Linked DNA regions of Caenorhabditis elegans. The protein of the gene in region 1 interacts with the protein of each later gene in a pairwise test. Each region holds a gene or a part of one and is shown on either strand. Other genes may lie near its edges.

Region 1 (3,821 bases):
TCAACACTTTGCCCAGTTATTTTTACTGTAAGGGAGATTCTAAAGTACTGCCAAGAAGTTGCGAATTTCACTATTCGTTTTTTTTTGAATTTATCAGGGTACTGTATAAAACTGTCAGAAGCTTTTAGACGATAAATTTTGGTAAGAAGTTGCAAAAGTAGTTGCAACCAAATATTGAGATAAACCCGAGTCGGCATCACTTTTGTAAGTTTATGACATTACTCATCCACATTCTTTCTGATAGTAACTGGGAAACTTTTAAGAAATTATTTACAGGATATTTTCTACTTATTTGAAATGAAAATTCGTGACTTTTGCGCTAACCAGACCTGGTCTGGGAGAACCGATTTTTCTAAAACCATCCTATCTGAATTATGACAAATATAATTGCTCTACCAGAACCCCAGTTTATACTTTATTCAAACTTAATTTATACTTATCAATTGGCATTTTCGCCGATTCAATTTCAAACAAGTTTGGCTAAAAGAGAGCAAGATGACAGAAGTATGTGAGTTTGATGTGGGCAGAGGAACAGGTGATTTTTTGAAAAAAGAGGAAAGATGGAAATAGAAAATGCCGTACGAAAAAAGTTAATTCACATTCTTCGTTTTTCGGAAATCCAAAACCTGAATTACATTCACACGGAGGCTCGTTTCTTTCGGTGTCTTCTGCTTCTGACAACACAGAGTCTCCTTGACAACGATTCGTGGCTCAAATGGAGTGAGAATTCGAAGAAAAGGTAGTAGAAGGGAATAGAAAGAGGAAAGGGATTCAGAAAAAATTGTTCGAAGAATTGTTCTGTCTTAAATTAACGGGGGAAAACAGGATCTGTTTACACGCTACAATGAGAAGTTTTGTAGAATTATGTACATTCTGAAAGCAATAGAAATACAATTTTGAAATCAAGTGCTCGTGAAAAAGGAATATTCCAGATTAAATACAAATACAAAAATAAAAATCTAAAGTATTCAAGTCAGGGAATTTTCGTACAAAACATGACAGTCCAATTTTTTCCTGGGAAGGAATAACAACATTTAAAGAGCGAATTGAAAATGAGAAAAATAATTGAAATTTTTTAGAAAAAGACTTTAAAAAAAGTGTGGTGCGTCAGAAAATCTTCAGATCAATTTCCCAAAAACCGAACTTAGGTACAAGAAAAAGCTAGAAAAAAAGGGTTAAAATTCAGCTATGTGCAATTTTTTTTTGAATTTTGGCAACTTTCAAAATTATCATACATTTTTTAAAAAGGAGTCAAATTTATATTTTGTGAAAAATTCGATTTTTTGCCGAATAAAAATTCTGAATGATTTTTTTTCCATGACACATCTAGTTTCAAACAATGTTAGCTTGTCTGATCTTCTTTTTTGAAATGAGACATATTTTTACGCATGTTAACCTCGAAATTATTAAAACTTTAAAAAAAGGAGCGGAAATGATTTTTCAAACTCCGCACAAGGTAAGATATAAGGCACAAACCAGTCGGAACTACAAAATTAACAAATTTTATATGGAAGAAAATTTTAACTTTTTGTTTTTATTTTTAACGTTTGACAGATAATATTTGCGAAAATCTGGTTAGAACAGAATTTTGGTAGCAGCTGACATTTTCTTAGATTATATTTCACTAATTTTAAATATATATTTGCAATTATTTACTGATTGTGAGAACTTTCAAGTTGATTTAGAACAAGTAAAAAAAATTAAGAACTTCTAGACTGTAGGCATGCAAGTTTTTTAACGTCATTCTTACTCATCTCAGTTTGGAAACCCCTTCTCTGATCATACTAAATAATTTATTTGAGATTGTTAGCAACAAAAAAGTCCCTAAAGTGATGACTATTGTGATTCATAATTATATAAATGTTCAATATATCACGCGTTACCCTATGATCTCATGAAAATGATCAGAGGGTAAATATGATTTATTCAAAAACAATGAAATATAATGTTAATTGGAGAGGTAAAGTTTGAGCCGGGAAGGTATAAATATAAAGTTGAGAGTAATCATTTTCTGATGAAAGATTTTTACTATCAGTTTGGACCATAACTTTCTACGGATTCCAGAACAATGCGACGAATCACTTGCTGCTTTCCGGTAATTAATCGTTTTGTGGAAAAATAATTATTGAACATTAGGATTATTATTCAAAAATACTGCCCCTTTGCTTGACAATTTTTGAAACAATTTTCAAGTATAAAACATATAAAACATCCTAAAGAGCTTATGAAACATATTTAATAATACTACAGATAAAAATTCACCGAAGACAACCACCTAGTCCACCATCAACTATCACATTGAGCAGTTATGAGTACAGTTCACTCGCTGTCGGAATCATTTCCGATTTGAAAGAAGAGGGTTGTGATACATTACTTGTCAAGCTTCAGAAGGTTTTCATCAACACTTCCATTATACTTTCATAGATTTTTCTCAGGATGCCAATCGGAAAATCGGAATGGGAGTCGGGGTAAGAGATCGTGGAATCCTCATAACCACTGTAGTACCTGGATCGGTTGCCGCTGAGAAATTGAAAGTTGGAGATCGTATTTTGGCGGTCAATGGACGTCCAATTTTGGATCAGGTAAGAATGATACAACAAATAGGAGACACAATAAAATTATCCAAAAACTGACTGAAATTGAAAAAATTTTCTAAGGGGGAAATTTGTGCAAGATGCGAGCAAGACTAACTAGTTTATATTTATAACAAACATTTAGATATCCGATATCTATATTTGTCACTTACTTCAGCGCTCGGTGGTGAAATCGGTCAAAGCATCTGGTCAACGACTGTATCTTCAAATCGCCCGTCCTCACAAGGTACATAAATAATGGTCCCTATATTTTAATTATTGCGCTACGAACAGTTTCTTTTTATCTTCTAATTATTTGAAATCGTATATTTCTTCCCAAAAATTATTTTCCAAAAGGCTAATTTCAGCAAAAAGCCTCAACCAACCTCATCAACTTTTTTTGGCATTACCAAAGTTTCTAAAATTTGTTGAAGTTTGCTGCAAGAAATTGATAAGATACAATAATTATTTCCCCAACGAACCCTTTATCTGTACCAAAATTCAAATCTCGCATTGTAACGGAATGCACTTACTTACTGTTGTAGATTTTATCCGTCAAAAAATCTATTTTGCTAGCAATTTCACCTCCTCACACACGCTATAACATTTTTTTTCCTGACTAACCTCAACAGTTTTATTGTAACGATCTTAAAAAATTATTGAACTTCCTGGTGGGAGGTTACTCGACTAATTGGAATATTTATGAAATATTAAAAAAAAACAATAAACACAAGAAAAACAGTTTATTATATACTATTCATGCGTGGGAAATTATCCAAAAATAAAACAATGAAAGATCCAAAATAAGGACTAAAAGATAGAACACTAAACTTAAGGAAATAATATCACCGCATACTTTGCAAATGGGTGTAAAACGACTAGATATTCAGCATGTTTGGAACGAATTGAATAGTTTTCAAAAAAAAAAACGGTAAAACTTCAAAAAGAAAAACATTTCAAAAAAGTACCCTGCAGAGTTTGACAGAAGAGGCGAGACATAATTGACTGCCTACAAAATGCATAAAATTGCTCGCCTATATTTCAAAAAAAAAAATTCAAAAAAAATTAAGAAAAAAATATGGAAACCTGAGTTGTGTTGAAAGTTGGGGGAGAGGATTCGAATCAAGAAAAAAACAAGGAAATAATTTTAAGGGGGAAGCGGTACGAATAACATTGAGCACTTTTGAAGGTAGGAATGCTAGAATATTATTAGAAGTTCGTCAGAAAATGAACGACGAATATGAAGGG
Region 2 (3,319 bases), 3.9 Mb from region 1:
AACATCTTCTCATCAAATCTTGTTTTCCACTAAAATCACACAGATTTTCGTAAGAATAATGAGCGCGTTTTCAATGATGAGCTATATACCGACAAAACAGCATGCCAATTGTGATGAAATAGAAGCTTCAATACAACGACTACTTCTTCTACGGTAGTGAAATCCGCTAACTAATTGGGAATAATTGCTGTATTGCATATGCATAAGTTTTTGTATTAACACCACGAGTATGAGGGAGGAGTGATGATGAAGTAATTCTTCTGGAACTATGTTACATTGGAGCTCACCACAGGACACCTTTTTGCGGTGACTCAAGAAACAATAGAGCAAGTCATGAGGTGTCAAATGTTCAAAGTACCCATAGAGCCAGTTATAATTAAGTGTGACATGTAAACGGAAGGAACTTTTCTTAATATTCTTTGTCTTGTATTTGATGACGTGGCAACAATATTTTGCACAGCAGGTCTTACTCCTCTTGTTGCTAATAAGTTTGTGTGAGTATGTCTACTCAACATAATAAGTTAAAAGCCTTCTAGCGCTTCTGCCGTCTATAATGCAATAATAGTCTTCGTTACTCGATGCTCAATTTCTTCGTTTAGTCAGGTCAGCCAGTCGTCTTTCCCTATTTTCTCTCCAAGCTTTAAAACGTTTGAAGGGGTACAGTGATATGCACAAAAAATGCACAAGTTGTTGGGGAAGTGGTGAACATCTGTGGAAAGGTTCAAATTGCTCAGTTGCACAATGACTATTACTAGACGCGTGTCGCTCTCAACACGTTCACACTTGTTATTGTTATTGTACTGGCTCAATCGCATTGTATTGTAACATAAACACGTAATTAGAGGGAGATGATGAGCATGAGAGGTCGAATTGTGCCAAAAGTGGAAAACGGCTGTAAGTAGGCTTTTCATGTAGGCACAAACACTGCCTGTGGCCTTTGTCTACCACAAAAGTACTGAAAGGTGCGTAGTAGGCATGCCTGAATAAGTACAAAATTTTAAGAATAAGTACAAGACTTACATCGTTAGTGAATTTGAAGAGTTTGCAAAATCAAAATTATTTTGTCAATCAAGTTAATACTTCTAGAGTATTTGGCCAAGAATCTTTTGTAGACCATTTGAAAATTTTCAGAAATTGAGTTGATTGCTAAGCTTTTCCAATTTCTTGATGAGATATTTGAGGTTTGAAAACATTATGTAAATTACGTTTTGTTTTTATTGGAATTTTAATTTCACCTATATGCTAGATATACTATTCCAGATCATCAAAACTGGCAAGAAAAGAAGACTCCAGACCATATACAAAAAATGAACACGTCATCATAATACACGACTGATCGAAAATGACACAACTGATTAGTTTCAATATTTTATTCTAGTACTGAACATTACGAGACAATCAATTTCCATATTTTGCTCATCGTCACTTAAGTGGTTGTTTATTCTTTCATCAACCGCCTACAATATTGCCTACGGCAATACTGTCATTCACAATCATTATCCCTCTCATCAACTCTTTTTTCTTCTTCTCCTTGTCGTCTTTCACGGGACCTTCATCTCTATTCGCCGACTCCGCCCCCTTCCGATGCCGTCTGAAGCTCCACCCATTGTGCTCCTATGGGAGCACCATATTACCGTGTTAGCTCATTTACACGAGAATCTTACCTCCCGTAAAATAATCTTCAAACTTATTTGAAAATGATAACTCCTGTATCAAGTTTTTCAATTGATGATCTTCTTCGTGGGCATTCAAACGAAATTCAAAGAATTCTGAAGCTTGATCAAACATCGCCCACTCCCCAATCAAGTTCAGATGAGGTATGTTCTTAAACTATTTTTCTCGTTTGGGTTTTGTAGTCACCATAGGCACTCTGCAAATATTTAAACAAACATATCAGGAATGTATTTCGCTCAATTATCAAAATTGAATTTAAATATAATTTTTCCGTTTTTTTTGGCCTTTGGTCAATGATTTCTTTAAAATTGATTCAAAATAAGTCGCAACTTCATTAAAAAATATTTTGTTTCCTTGATGTGATGCTTGTTCTTTCACAATTACTTAAATTCAACAAGTAATATTTCAATAAAATATGTAAATTTGATCATCAAAAATTACTCTATCGGTTTACTTCCAGGGATCAGAAAAATCATCGATATCCGTAATGTCAGTTCCATTGACAAATGAATTAACTCCCACAATCACTCCTGCTCTTTCTGATCAGCTTTGGCTTGCAGCAGCAGCGTTTCCAATAGAACATAGTCTCTTGTTGGCTCAACGAAATGGAGTTTTTCCTGGATTCTGGTCAACAGCTGATCAGATTCGATTGTCAAATGCAACTAAAGCGTATAGAAGATTGAGGTTGGAATGGTAATGATTGAAATTTATCAAATATAATTATTCTTCTGTTTTCAGTTCGCGAAGAAAAGCAAGAACAGTGTTCAGTGATCAGCAACTACAAGGATTGGAACGAAGATTTGAATCCCAAAGGTGACCAAAAATGCATTCCGAGTTTAGTATTCTAAATCAGACTTTCAGATATCTGAGTACTCCTGAGAGAATTGAATTGGCAAATGCTCTCAATTTGAGTGAAACTCAAGTTAAAACATGGTTTCAAAACCGACGAATGAAGCACAAGAAAGTTGTCAGAAAAGATGATAATAGTGTGGATGACGACAATGGAAATGATAATGAGAGCGAATAAGTATATATATATTTACCGGTAGATTGTCTTTTCTCTATGAATATTTATTTAAAGAATATTGATGTATTATATTATTGCATGTCCAAATAAAGTCAAATTTCTAACAGATATTTTATTACCAACTTATATTTATGATTATGAGGAATAAGTCATGGGGTATTACTTTAATTATATTTATCTCACATCTTATAATTCAATTTTGAACTTTTTGATTTGCCAATTGCCCATCAGTCCTCAAAAAAACGAAACTTTGAAAAATGGTTGTTAAATTATTTTATTCCAAATCATAATACAATAGGACACTTATTCATCGAAGAAGTTGAATGTACATTTTCCGATTTCCCACATATTAGTTGGAACTGCAGCATTGTAGTCATTCCACAACAAAGTACGCTGAAGATTTTTAAGTTAAGCTTGAATAAAACAAAACGTTTGTTACCGTATCCATTTCAATATCACAACCAGGTGCCTTGATAACATGAATATTGAATGATGTGCTCTCTGTAACTGGAAGCTTGAATTGATCCTGATAGATTGGATTTCCTTGCATTTCTCCGAACACCATGTCAACCTAAAAACTATGAAATTGAAGATTTATATTTGATTTTAAAAAAACTA
Region 3 (2,828 bases), on another chromosome or scaffold:
AAAAGGTTCAGATTCCGGCAGGTACTTGATTTTTGAATTTTAAAAACGAATTTTGACGATTTTTATTTCAGACTCTACACTCCGAGACGTGCTGAAATTTGTCCGGGACAACCTCGTCACGGATGTTCACCGGATAAATATGTTGCTCAACGATGACGCCAGCGAAGTTGCTCACGGAGTGATTACCCTTATCAATGACACGGATACCGGATTGCTGTTAGAATACGATACGGTTATTGAGGCAGGGGATACGATTACTTTTGTCTCGACGCTTCATGGTGGATGAACTCGGATTTTTGCTAATTGTTTTGTTTTTAAGCTGTTTTTTAAGTTGATAATGAATTTGAAATGTATCACTTCGAAATTAGTTAACAGAGCAGGTATCTTCAACGGACGAAGGTTGCTGAAACTTTCGACGAGCGGAACTTTCAAGGGGACTCATCTTAATCGAAGAAGAAAAAACGCTTCACAGAACGACAGTTTCTAGGCATTTCCAGAAAGATGGAAGAACTTTCGAAACCGAAGACTCCCCCCTGTACCCAAAACAAAAGAAAAACACTTTTTTTCTCATTTTACAGCTTTATTTTTGTCCTGGCAGTATGTAATCTAGAAAGTTGGGGGCAATTTAGTGCTTTCCGGTGGTGGTGGTGCTGGATGGCTTCTGGGTGACAGCGTGTCCAGCAGAAGTGTGGATTGGAAGAGCACGAACGGTGGTGTTGGAGCCGGTCTTTGGAGCATCGATGGTCATCTGTCCTTCCTTGTTGATGACGGTGTGGATGTGAGCCAAGTCGACGTCCTTTGGAAGAGTGAACTGGCGAGTGAACGATCTGAAAATTTTTAATTAATTTTAATTCCAATAAATGAAAAATAAAATAAAACCAACCTCTTGCTGAACCCGTGCTCGGTCTTGACCTCGTGGTGTCCCTCAATGGTGAGAACGTGTCCCTCAAGATTGACCTTCAACTCTTCCGGCTTGAACGCGGCGACGTCGAGCTTGACACAGAACTTCTGGGCGGTGTTCTCGACCTCGTTGAGCTGTTGTGGCACGATGTTGTTGAAGTTGTTGAGCATGCTGTGACGCTGAGCCCAGTATGGCATCATGTCCTCGAAGTCGCGGAAGAGTCCGGTTGGACGGCCAGTGTATGGGCAGAGAGAAGACATAGTTGAGTGAATAGGGTTAAGAATGAGGTGAAAAACGATGAACGTCTGAGGAAAATGGCAAAATCCGCGCCTTTTATACCCAATTTTTGTTTGTTGTTTGTTGTTGTTTACTTGTTTACATTTTTGTTGTTGTTTCGATGATCAGTGAGAGATCAAAATGTAGGTCAAACATTATATTTTACGAGAAATTGCGTATTTTAATAAAAATTATTTATTTTTTATCAGAATTTTGCATTTTTTTTTCTCTAAAATCTTTCTCTGAAAATTAAATTTTTCACACAATTCTGTTTTAAAATTCCGCTTTTCTTTTAAAAAAATGCATTGCACGCAAAATGCGCCAGTGTACACCGTTTGACACGCTTCTCGTCTTCTATTCTACGTGGCCGTAAATCTACACAGATTTTATCAGATAATTTTCCAGGGTTTTAAAAAATATTTTAACGAACAAAATTATGCCGGCGGAGCTGGAAAGCGTTCGAACGCGACAAATAGGTGAGAATTCATGCTTGATATGAATAAAATATAAATAAATCTCCATATTTTCAGTCGCTTTACGGACGATGATCAATTTGAATGAGCCCGTAGTCAATTCTGGAGTCAGAGAACCGGTAGGCCGATTTAAAATACCTGAAAAATCAAATTTATTGTGTGAATTTAGGTATGGAAAGTATTGGTGCTCGACAGAACCGGACAGGATATAATTTCGCCGCTTCTCCCAGTCAAACAGCTCAGAGAACTCGGAGTTACCCTTCATTTGTGCGATTTTAGCTAAAAAACTGCGCAGAAATTCAATTTTTCATATTGCAGATTGATCGGAGCCCGCCGTGAGCCGCTAACCGACGTTCCAGCTGTGTACTTCGTGTCGCCAAACGATGAGAATATTGATTTGATGAGTGAAGATCTCAAAAAAGCCATGTACGACTCGTTCTATTGCAATTTCATCTCCCCGTTGGCTCGTCCTCGTCTCGAATCGCTCGCTTCAGCTGCAGTACACGGGGGAGCAGTTTCACAAGTTCAAAAAGTGCGATAAAGAATTAAAAAATATATTTAATTCAGCATTAACTAGTCGAAAACCTTCTACATTCTTCATAACTTGTGCTGCAAAAACCATTATAAATCTCAAAATTGTGGTTTTTTTTCGGATTTTTTCTTGCAAAAAGTACAGAATTTTGAAAATTATCAACCTTTTTTCTTGATTCTAACAAAGTTTGTCGTAAAAACACTTATAAAATTGAATTTTGCACTAGTTTTTCAGCAAAAATAACTTTTTATTTCAAAAAAAAATTAGATTTTCCGACATTTTCAAAATTTCCAGGTAGTGGATCAATATCTCAACTTCATTTCCCTGGAAGATGATCTCTTTGTGCTCCGTCGTTACAGTGAAAATAGTACATTCTCATATCACGCAATGAATTCACCCGGAACATCCGATGTCGCCGTGAATGCGATGCTTGATTCCATTGCCGACGGACTTTTTGCAGTTTGTGCCACTATGGGAATTGTTCCGATTATTAGATGTCCGAAGGGAAATGCTGCTGAAATGGTGGCAAAAGTACGGTTATTATACTCAAAATGGCTCGAAAGTAGCGGATATTATAACAAAAATTCGGAGAAAATCGCTTGGTTTTCGCTAAAATTTCCAATTATGCCAATTTTTCGGTGCTGTG
Region 4 (7,985 bases), on another chromosome or scaffold:
TATCTATTAAATACTTATTTATTAAAACAAAACAGATTATTCACGTGGTGTCAGGCTGTCTCATTGCGGTTTGATCTACGAAAAATGCGGGAATATTTTCCCAGAAAAATTGTGACGTCAGCACAGTCTTAACCATGCGAAATCAGATCAGATGTCTGCGTCACTTCTCCCGCATTTTTTCGAAGATCAAAGCAAAATGGGACTTTTTGACTCCACGTGATTATTCTACTTTGCTTTTTTGTTATCTAGATTATCAGTAAGAAACTACAATTTTTGGTTTTAAAATTGTGTTTGCAATAAGAATTTTCGAAAAAACCATTAAAACTTTTTAATAGAAAAATTATTTTAAAAAATTGAAGAATAATTCCCTATTCTTGTTTAAAATAAATCATCATTCATTATGCATTAAATCTGTCGGTAGTTATTACACGTTCTTATGATAATTTAGGCTTGAAAAAATTCGAGCCACCTCAAAAAAATTTTGGAATTTTCTTTTGGAAAAGACTAGAAGTGAACAAACTTTTTGTCAATATTTTGAGTGTATGAAAAATAAAAAAATACTATAATTGTTCTAAAATGTGTTCAGAAGTCTGACCAAGAAATTTTGGTACAACTGTTGTTATTTTGTTTATTGCCATATAAACTAAAATTTAGAGTTGCGTGGGTTTTCCAAATTATACAAAACATTAGTTCAAAATACTGAAATTTAAAATGAGTAACTTTAAATTGGTGTTGATTTTTTCCAAAATGTTTAGTCTTTGGTTTTGGTAAATTGCCAAATTTGTGACAATATTGATTTTTCGAGAAGTTAGAAAATTGTTTGAAAGTGATGCCCAACAATGCTTAAATACAAATAGATTTTTTTTAATCGAATACATTTTTTGGTTTTCTTCCAAAATTATGAAAATTGAGTAATTGCCAAGAAAATATACAAAATTATTTTCCTAAAATAACTTCTGTGAAATCTGGTAGTGAGACTTACTTGTCTTTCAGTCAAATGCAATGTTTCTGAAATTTCTTGCCGACGTTTCCTAGTCAAGTATTTGTGATAATGAAATTCCTTTTCTAATTCCAATGTTTGACTTCTTGAATATGTCTGACGAGTGCGTTTTGATTCTCCACCTTTTGCACCTGAAATATTATAAATTGAAAAATGCTAACTGTCTCAAGATTACATGGTTACAAATCCATTAACACCTAAGAACGAAAGCTGTCAACAAATAATAATAATTAAGAAATAAACCTTCCCCATCAAATACAGTAATCCTATCCCACCCCTGACGCAATTTGATTGGTCGTGGTCAGTTGTTGTTCCCCAGCCATGTCGTATTTCATTATTGCCGCGAATTCTCTTTGTCTTATCGTCGCACCGACTTCATAACAGTTGCTGTTCCGGGCGGTCTATTTCTCGATCATCACACTTTCCAAATGATATCCAAACAATTAATAAATTAACAACGATGGCGTAATGATCGAGAAAGCTTAATTCGCGGAACTTTATGTTCTAATAAAATGTTTCAACAGGGAGAATGAAAATTATCACAAACTCGCTGAAGGTAATAGCTATTACTGTGTATAATATGGAATATAAATTTTTCAAGGACTATCAAGTAATCAGTTTTATATTATATATAGTTAGACATTTTTTCTCTCCCACTTTTCCATTACGATCCTTGAATTTTTAATTTTAAACAGTAGACACTAAGATAATAAGAATTATCGGCATACAGTGAAGGAAGGTTTTTAGGTATAAAGTTGCGACAATGTTACGAGAATAAAAAGGAATAACATTAATTGGGGCCCGCGAGATATAGTTTGCAGAAACAACAAAGGTTCGAAGTTAACATTTTTAAACCAGCTACCGGAAACATATATACACCTACACAAAAATGCAATTGCTCTTAAAAAAAGTGCAATGAGTTTTTATATTTAGGTATATTTTCTTGGATAAATTCTTGTTTTTATTGGATAAAAGATATGGATAAAATAACGGCTGACCAAGTTGTAATTACTCTAATATTAGAAAAATGTTTCAAAACCATAATAATCAATAGGTTAGTATTTTCAAACTACCGTAGTCCGCTCTCTATGTCTGCTCACACTCTCTCTCACTTTTCAATTTCCAATTTTTCTCTTTGCAACACACTCACTCTTTTCTACCCTGGTTCATCTATACCTCATTGAAATTCAACCATCTGTCCTCTTTATCCGGAAAACCCTAAACACACAAGACATATCAAAACTACTGTATTACGGTAGATCCGTGCTCAAACTCCCTTTCATAATAATTTGAACTTCAACAACAAACAATACCACCCAGAAGTACAACGCTTGTTCGATTCAACCTGTTCTCATTTTTTGGGAAATCTTCTATTTTCTGTTAGATTTCAGTTTCGATTAGAAAGTTTTGAGGCACAGAGAGAAAAAACGGGAGGATTACTGTACTTCTCCAATCTGGGCATCAATCAAAAAAAGTTAATGGGGAAAACTGAATGAACGAAAGAAACTAATTGCAAATTAATGACTAACGGAAGAAGAAAAAGACATTGAAAAGAAAATGGTAACATATTGATAATCTTGAAAAATTACATGCAATTTGTGATGTGGTGAAGCTTCATGGTCAATTTTTGACAAAGTTTCCAGTTTAAGAATCAATGTATTTTGATTAGTGCAATAAAATACTGAATTTTAGATGAAATTTGAATCGGAAAATCAGTTTTTTGTAAGTTCGCAATATATCTTTTCAACAATTTAGCTAGATGATCATCGATTGTTTACAATCTATTGAAAAGTTGACACAAAGAGACAAGAAATTTTCTGAGAAATTGTATCAGACTAATAGGAAAAATACGGTGCATGGGTTTAACAAAGAGTACGACTGTAAAAAGCATGTCAAAACGTTATTATCTTATCTTAAACGTTTGGGGTGCTCATGAGTGAAGAAAATAGGCGATGTGCAGGTATGTATATTTTTTGACTTTGAATATTACGGGAAAAATTCCATTTTAAAAATTTACAAGCGAAAATTCCAAGCAACATATTTCTATCAGTCTATCGTATAATATTTTGATAAGACGACAGAAGGGAATTTAGACACGATGCCTCAACTTTACACCGTATGATCCTCCTAATCCGGTGTCGTCTGAACTTGTCAGTCAATTTCGTTTCTTCTTCCCTCTGCTATATATCAAATGAATATCCACCGTAAATCATCGGATTAGAAGAACGTGATGACAAACCGCCCGTGTTTCTGCTCTTTTGCGTGGAGCATCCTGTGAAGCAGCTGTTGCAGCATCAAGTCATAAAACATCCGATGCTCAGGTCATCTCTCTCTGCACACGAACCGCAAACATTTTGACAAGTTGGTGTTGTTGTTCCTAGTACAACTTGTTCTTGTGTTCGGATTGTGGAGGAGGTCAAAAATGAATAAATCAATTGACAATTTACAACTTCGATACGGACCCCCACTTTCTCTTGTGCTTAGGGCTCGAATTCGTGGGTTTTCTGGCACGGCGGCAAACTTCAAAGCACCAAGGAAAATAAATGATTCGGGAAAGACAGAGAGAGTAAAAGAGAGAGAAAGTGAAACAAGACAAAGATTCTCTCGTATTTACGTGTATCTTCCATTTTCTCCGTCTTCTTTTCTCATGCTTTTCTCTGGTTTCGGTCAAAAAATGAAAGAGAACGAAAAAAACTCCGAAGGAAGAGAAAGAGAAATGTAACAGAGAAGCCTGTCTCTCGTGTTTTGAACTGACTGTGAAAAAATTATCGAAATTAAAAGTAACTGAATGAAATCAAACACATTTTTTCAAACTATTATCAATTTGGAAATAATTACAAGAGCATTGAATTTATACTGTGACACCAAAGATTGTATTTTGTATATTTCAAAAATTAAAAAAAAGTATAAAATTTAAGACGTAAAATCAAAATGGACGGCATGTCAGTAAGTTCTGGAAAAAGTTGAACAACCATTTATGAGATGCACTAATCCGGTAATGACATTAAAATTTTTGTACAGTTCAAATCGATATTGTTTTCTGCAGTGTTTTTGAAGTTTCAAATTTTGACTGAGTTTTGGAATATTGGAAATAGAATATTGCATGCAGTTGTTCGAAAAATTCATAACCCAAAAGTTAATCAAAACTTATATTAAAAGGCCGGTAGATTTTTTTTTCTGAAACTTTGAACTTTCAAAACTAAAAACTACCAAAACTTGAGACTTATAACTAGCAACATTAGGCAAACAGTGTTGACTGTAAACCCATTAAAATATAAAACTTTATCCTATTCATGACCATTTCCCCGTTAACCACCCAGCGTGTATCATAAATAAATCAAAAAATTCCGTCCTTTTCCCGCCGCGATTTAGAGAAAAAGGATCCAAAAGAGACACCGACTTGTCGCCATATTTTTTGTTTTTCTCCTTCTTTTTCTCTTTAATATTATACCGCCATGAAAGTCTGAAGATAAGAATCGAAAAAGTGTGCCCCTCTCTCTAGGACCTCCCCTCTTGCGCGCATGTCTATCTTCACACCTATTTGGCGGTCATTACCGAGTAACAACCAATCCGAAATTACATTAAAATGTAGAAGAATGACCCATATGTTTGTCTTGTTTTGACATTTTTATGAGATCAAATAGTGAAAATGGAAATACGAGTTTAAAAGTGAAAATGAGAAACTGTAAACTAACCGCCCATCTTCATCCATGGAAATACTGGTTGCGAGATTGCTGGCATTGAAGTTCTAGTTTCACCAAAATTTGCAGATGTTGCTTGAAGTGGGTTATAGGCGAATCTGAAAATATTTTAAGTTGGATCCTAAATTTTGTGGTAAGTTAATTCGCTTATTTGAATATGGAAAAAAAATATTTCGAATTTCCAAATACTCTTATTCATCATTTTAATATGTTTTTGTTCCTGTCTTCAAGGCGACCTTTGCCTGCCTTGTTGCTCTTCTGCACGCATCCTGCCAAAGTTCCCTTATTCAAAACTTCAATCATTAATTAAAATAAGATAATGAAAAACCTGTGAGAAATTTACAACAATTGAGTTTTCATTTGAAAATGGCTATAGGCTTGATGATCGAAAATTGCTTTTTTTTTATTATGGAAAAATATTAAAGATAAAATATTCATGTTGAAATTCAAATGCATTAGAGAGTGCTTGTAAATAAAATTGGAGTGAACATATTTTTTTAAAGAAATCCGAAATCTTTTAAACATTTCCGAAAGACATATTTTAAAAAAACGAACTCAATGTTTTTGTTGCAATGAAACTATTGATTTTTTGGAAACCGGACTGAGAACTTCTTTCAAAAACTGAAATTTAAATTTTCTTGTTGATTTTTCTTTGAATCAATGTTAAAAAGGAAGTTGTGAAACCTGGAACGCTTAGCAAAAATCTTAAAATTTTACAGCAAACTTTGTTTTATTTCGCAACATTTTTTTCTCGCTCCAAAAATTTTATTTCAAGAAACTTACGGATTTGATGAATTATCCATCCAACCGGCAGCAAGCATATGTTTCATATTGTTCATGTAGGTGTGATTGTAGAGTTCGTAGGTCTGAAAATAGTTTGAAGTTTAGTAATGGGACGTTGCGAAATACTTTCAAAGTTTTTCAAAACAAGGGTGAATATTTCTTGATATTTTTAAATGAATTTTTTATTAATTTTTTAATCTGGAAAATTTGAAAACTATAGAGTATTTTAAAAATTGAAATTCATTTTTGTAGGGTTTTCCCCATATTTTCCGTAATTAATTTTCGACCCAAAATATTTGAACTTATTTCAACTAAAACCTAAAATTTTTCATTTAAACTCTGAAACACACACTTTCAAATTATTGGCAGCAGCAGCAGCGGCAGCACTAGACGATGCTGAAGCAGATGTGCCGGATGATGCGGATTGAGAAGAAGCCGTTGTGCCGGCGCCCGCCCAGTACGAATCGTCGCCTGTCCATCCAGGATACATGCTCATTTGCCGACGGATTGAGTTGAGGGGATGAGTAGATGCGTGATGGAAGACGGCAAAAAGGTGCGGATTTCTGAAATTGAAATGGTAATTGAGGGGTGAGAATATGGGAAGATAGAGAAAAAGTAGGGAGCACGGAAGGAGCATGGAAAGAGCAATGAGAGCAAGATGGAGGAAAAAATGGTGCCATATAGAATACAACTTGAATAATTGAGGAAATAATATATCAGGTTTGTTTCAACGTCATAAGTATAAAGCCCATCTCAGTGAACACTAAATAAGATAATTTTTCAAATCAATAAGCACAATAATATGAAAATTAATTATGACACATTAAGCTGTAGAAGGCAAGTTTTTAAAACTGTTAAAAATAATATATGGTGAACAACTGATTAATATTGTTTTAAAGTTATCAAATGATCAATTTAAAAGCGTTTATTCTATAACTATTTAATACCAAAAGTTGCAATTTAAACTATTTCTGATATTATGAAATATTTTCTATACAGAATGTTTTAACATTACGTTTTTTTCTAAAAGCAACATATTCGACAAAGTCAGTAATACTAAAAATAAAAACAATTACAAGTAAATAAAATGTTTATTTCTAAAGCTAGACATTTGATAAGAAATATCGAGCATATTTAAAGTGAAATAAATTGTCTAATGAAATTTATTTTGTTTTACCTTCACTCTAGAAGTTTATCAATAAAAATGGTAATAATGACTTCCATTAAACCAAATAAGCATTCCAAAACCCCTACAGTACTCCTCATTATTTGATAATCATGAGGTTTGGTCTATAAATATCTTTTAGTGACTAATGTCCATTACATATTACCGTATCAATTTATCATTTGTCACATTATCAATCTTTAATGCCATTACATTAAGCCCTTCTCTCTCTCTTCCAGTTTCTCTTTGGAACCTAATATTATAAAGTATCCAATGAGTCCCGTAACTAAAAACCAATAAACGGGGCATTGACGCATTAATTAAGATATATATTCGAATATAAAGAAGAGAAATCAATCGGAGAATTGAAATATGTTGAGGGCGCCTGATGAAATATTGGTGGGGCCCCCCGGCGGCCGACTGGTCGATGCGAACAACGTGTGAATGGGCGGAGTCTCCGGGCGTTGACGGGAAATGGGGAAACCAATCGGAGAAATTGGGAGGAGCATGAAAAGACTGGGAAGGCAATGATGAGTAGCATTTTATGGTAGAAATCATAATATTTTAGTTATTAAGATTCCAAGTCAAGAGCTTCTATTTAGCATTTGGTTTAGATGTCATTTACAATGGCATTTGAGAGGGCTTATCCTACAGAGATGACATCTTATTGTAGATTTGTGAAAATTGGAAAATATGATTCAAATAATGAGTTCTGGCATTTAATTTTCGAATGAAAATAAAAATTTTACGAAATTAAGCAAAAGTATAAATTAAAAAAATAATTCGATTAGAAGTTGTCATTTTTTCAAAATTAATATGGTTTTTTAAAAAATTTGTTTGATATTATATATTTAAATCTACAATTTAAAACAAAATGCTATATCTGTATTATTCAAGTCCCGAACTTGAAAAAATTGAAGTCTTGCAGAAAATTAGAAAGGTTAGAAAATGACATTTGTATGTTCAATGTATTTGGAACTCTTGAAACAAAGTAATCAAAAGAATCAAATGAAAAGGATCAAAATTTCTAGAACCGATAAAATATTAAAACGTTAAAAAACGTATCTGTTGAATAATAATAGCCCTTCACTATCTGAAAAATTGATTAGTCGTGAAAAGAGGAGATGGGAAAATTATCGGAAAATTAAAATTTCATGAAATGAAAAAATTAAAGTTAAAAAATTTGTGCACCCATCTACCGAAGATGTACCTAGTTAATAGAAAAATCAAAAGAAATAATTAAAATATGCAAAAAAGAGTGAAAATCAAATAACAACTTAACTCCGACCGTTTAATGAGTCATTTGTGATTTGAGTACATAAATATAATTTTAAAA

Evidence for each region.
Region 2: the proteins of C52A11.3 (region 1) and tab-1 interact in a two-hybrid assay, tested with the Caenorhabditis elegans proteins (one large-scale study listed by BioGRID).
Region 3: the proteins of C52A11.3 (region 1) and sip-1 interact in a two-hybrid assay, tested with the Caenorhabditis elegans proteins (one large-scale study listed by BioGRID).
Region 4: the proteins of C52A11.3 (region 1) and mab-5 interact in a two-hybrid assay, tested with the Caenorhabditis elegans proteins (one large-scale study listed by BioGRID).

What each region holds. Positions count from the first base shown.
Region 1 is NC_003280.10:10,735,334-10,739,154, forward strand, and holds C52A11.3 (PDZ domain-containing protein C52A11.3), read left to right. Parts: upstream 1-2,025; 5' UTR 2,026-2,068; coding exon 2,069-2,095; intron 2,096-2,250; coding exon 2,251-2,391; intron 2,392-2,435; coding exon 2,436-2,582; intron 2,583-2,751; coding exon 2,752-2,832; 3' UTR 2,833-3,295; downstream 3,296-3,821.
Region 2 is NC_003280.10:6,802,061-6,805,379, forward strand, and holds tab-1 (Homeobox domain-containing protein), read left to right. Parts: upstream 1-1,640; 5' UTR 1,641-1,697; coding exon 1,698-1,817; intron 1,818-2,134; coding exon 2,135-2,367; intron 2,368-2,412; coding exon 2,413-2,487; intron 2,488-2,535; coding exon 2,536-2,701; 3' UTR 2,702-2,803; downstream 2,804-3,319. Other genes in the region: F31E8.5 (DUF4091 domain-containing protein), read right to left, coding at 3,005-3,094, 3,141-3,272.
Region 3 is NC_003281.10:10,505,547-10,508,374, forward strand, and holds sip-1 (Stress-induced protein 1), read right to left. Parts: upstream 1,256-2,828; 5' UTR 1,162-1,255; coding exon 884-1,161; intron 828-883; coding exon 626-827; 3' UTR 560-625; downstream 1-559. Other genes in the region: urm-1 (Ubiquitin-related modifier 1 homolog), read left to right, coding at 1-21, 72-286; sly-1 (Sec1 family domain-containing protein 1), read left to right, coding at 1,614-1,653, 1,708-1,769, 1,820-1,917, 1,969-2,182, 2,477-2,713.
Region 4 is NC_003281.10:7,777,409-7,785,393, forward strand, and holds the start of mab-5 (Homeobox protein mab-5), read right to left. Parts: upstream 6,047-7,985; 5' UTR 5,981-6,046; coding exon 5,837-5,980; intron 5,568-5,836; coding exon 5,485-5,567; intron 4,800-5,484; coding exon 4,696-4,799; intron 1,132-4,695; coding exon 983-1,131; intron 1-982. UniProt on the Caenorhabditis elegans protein: Transcription factor that binds to the promoter region of the transcription factor lin-39 to repress its expression in Q neuroblasts and thereby direct left Q neuroblast (QL) daughter cell migration.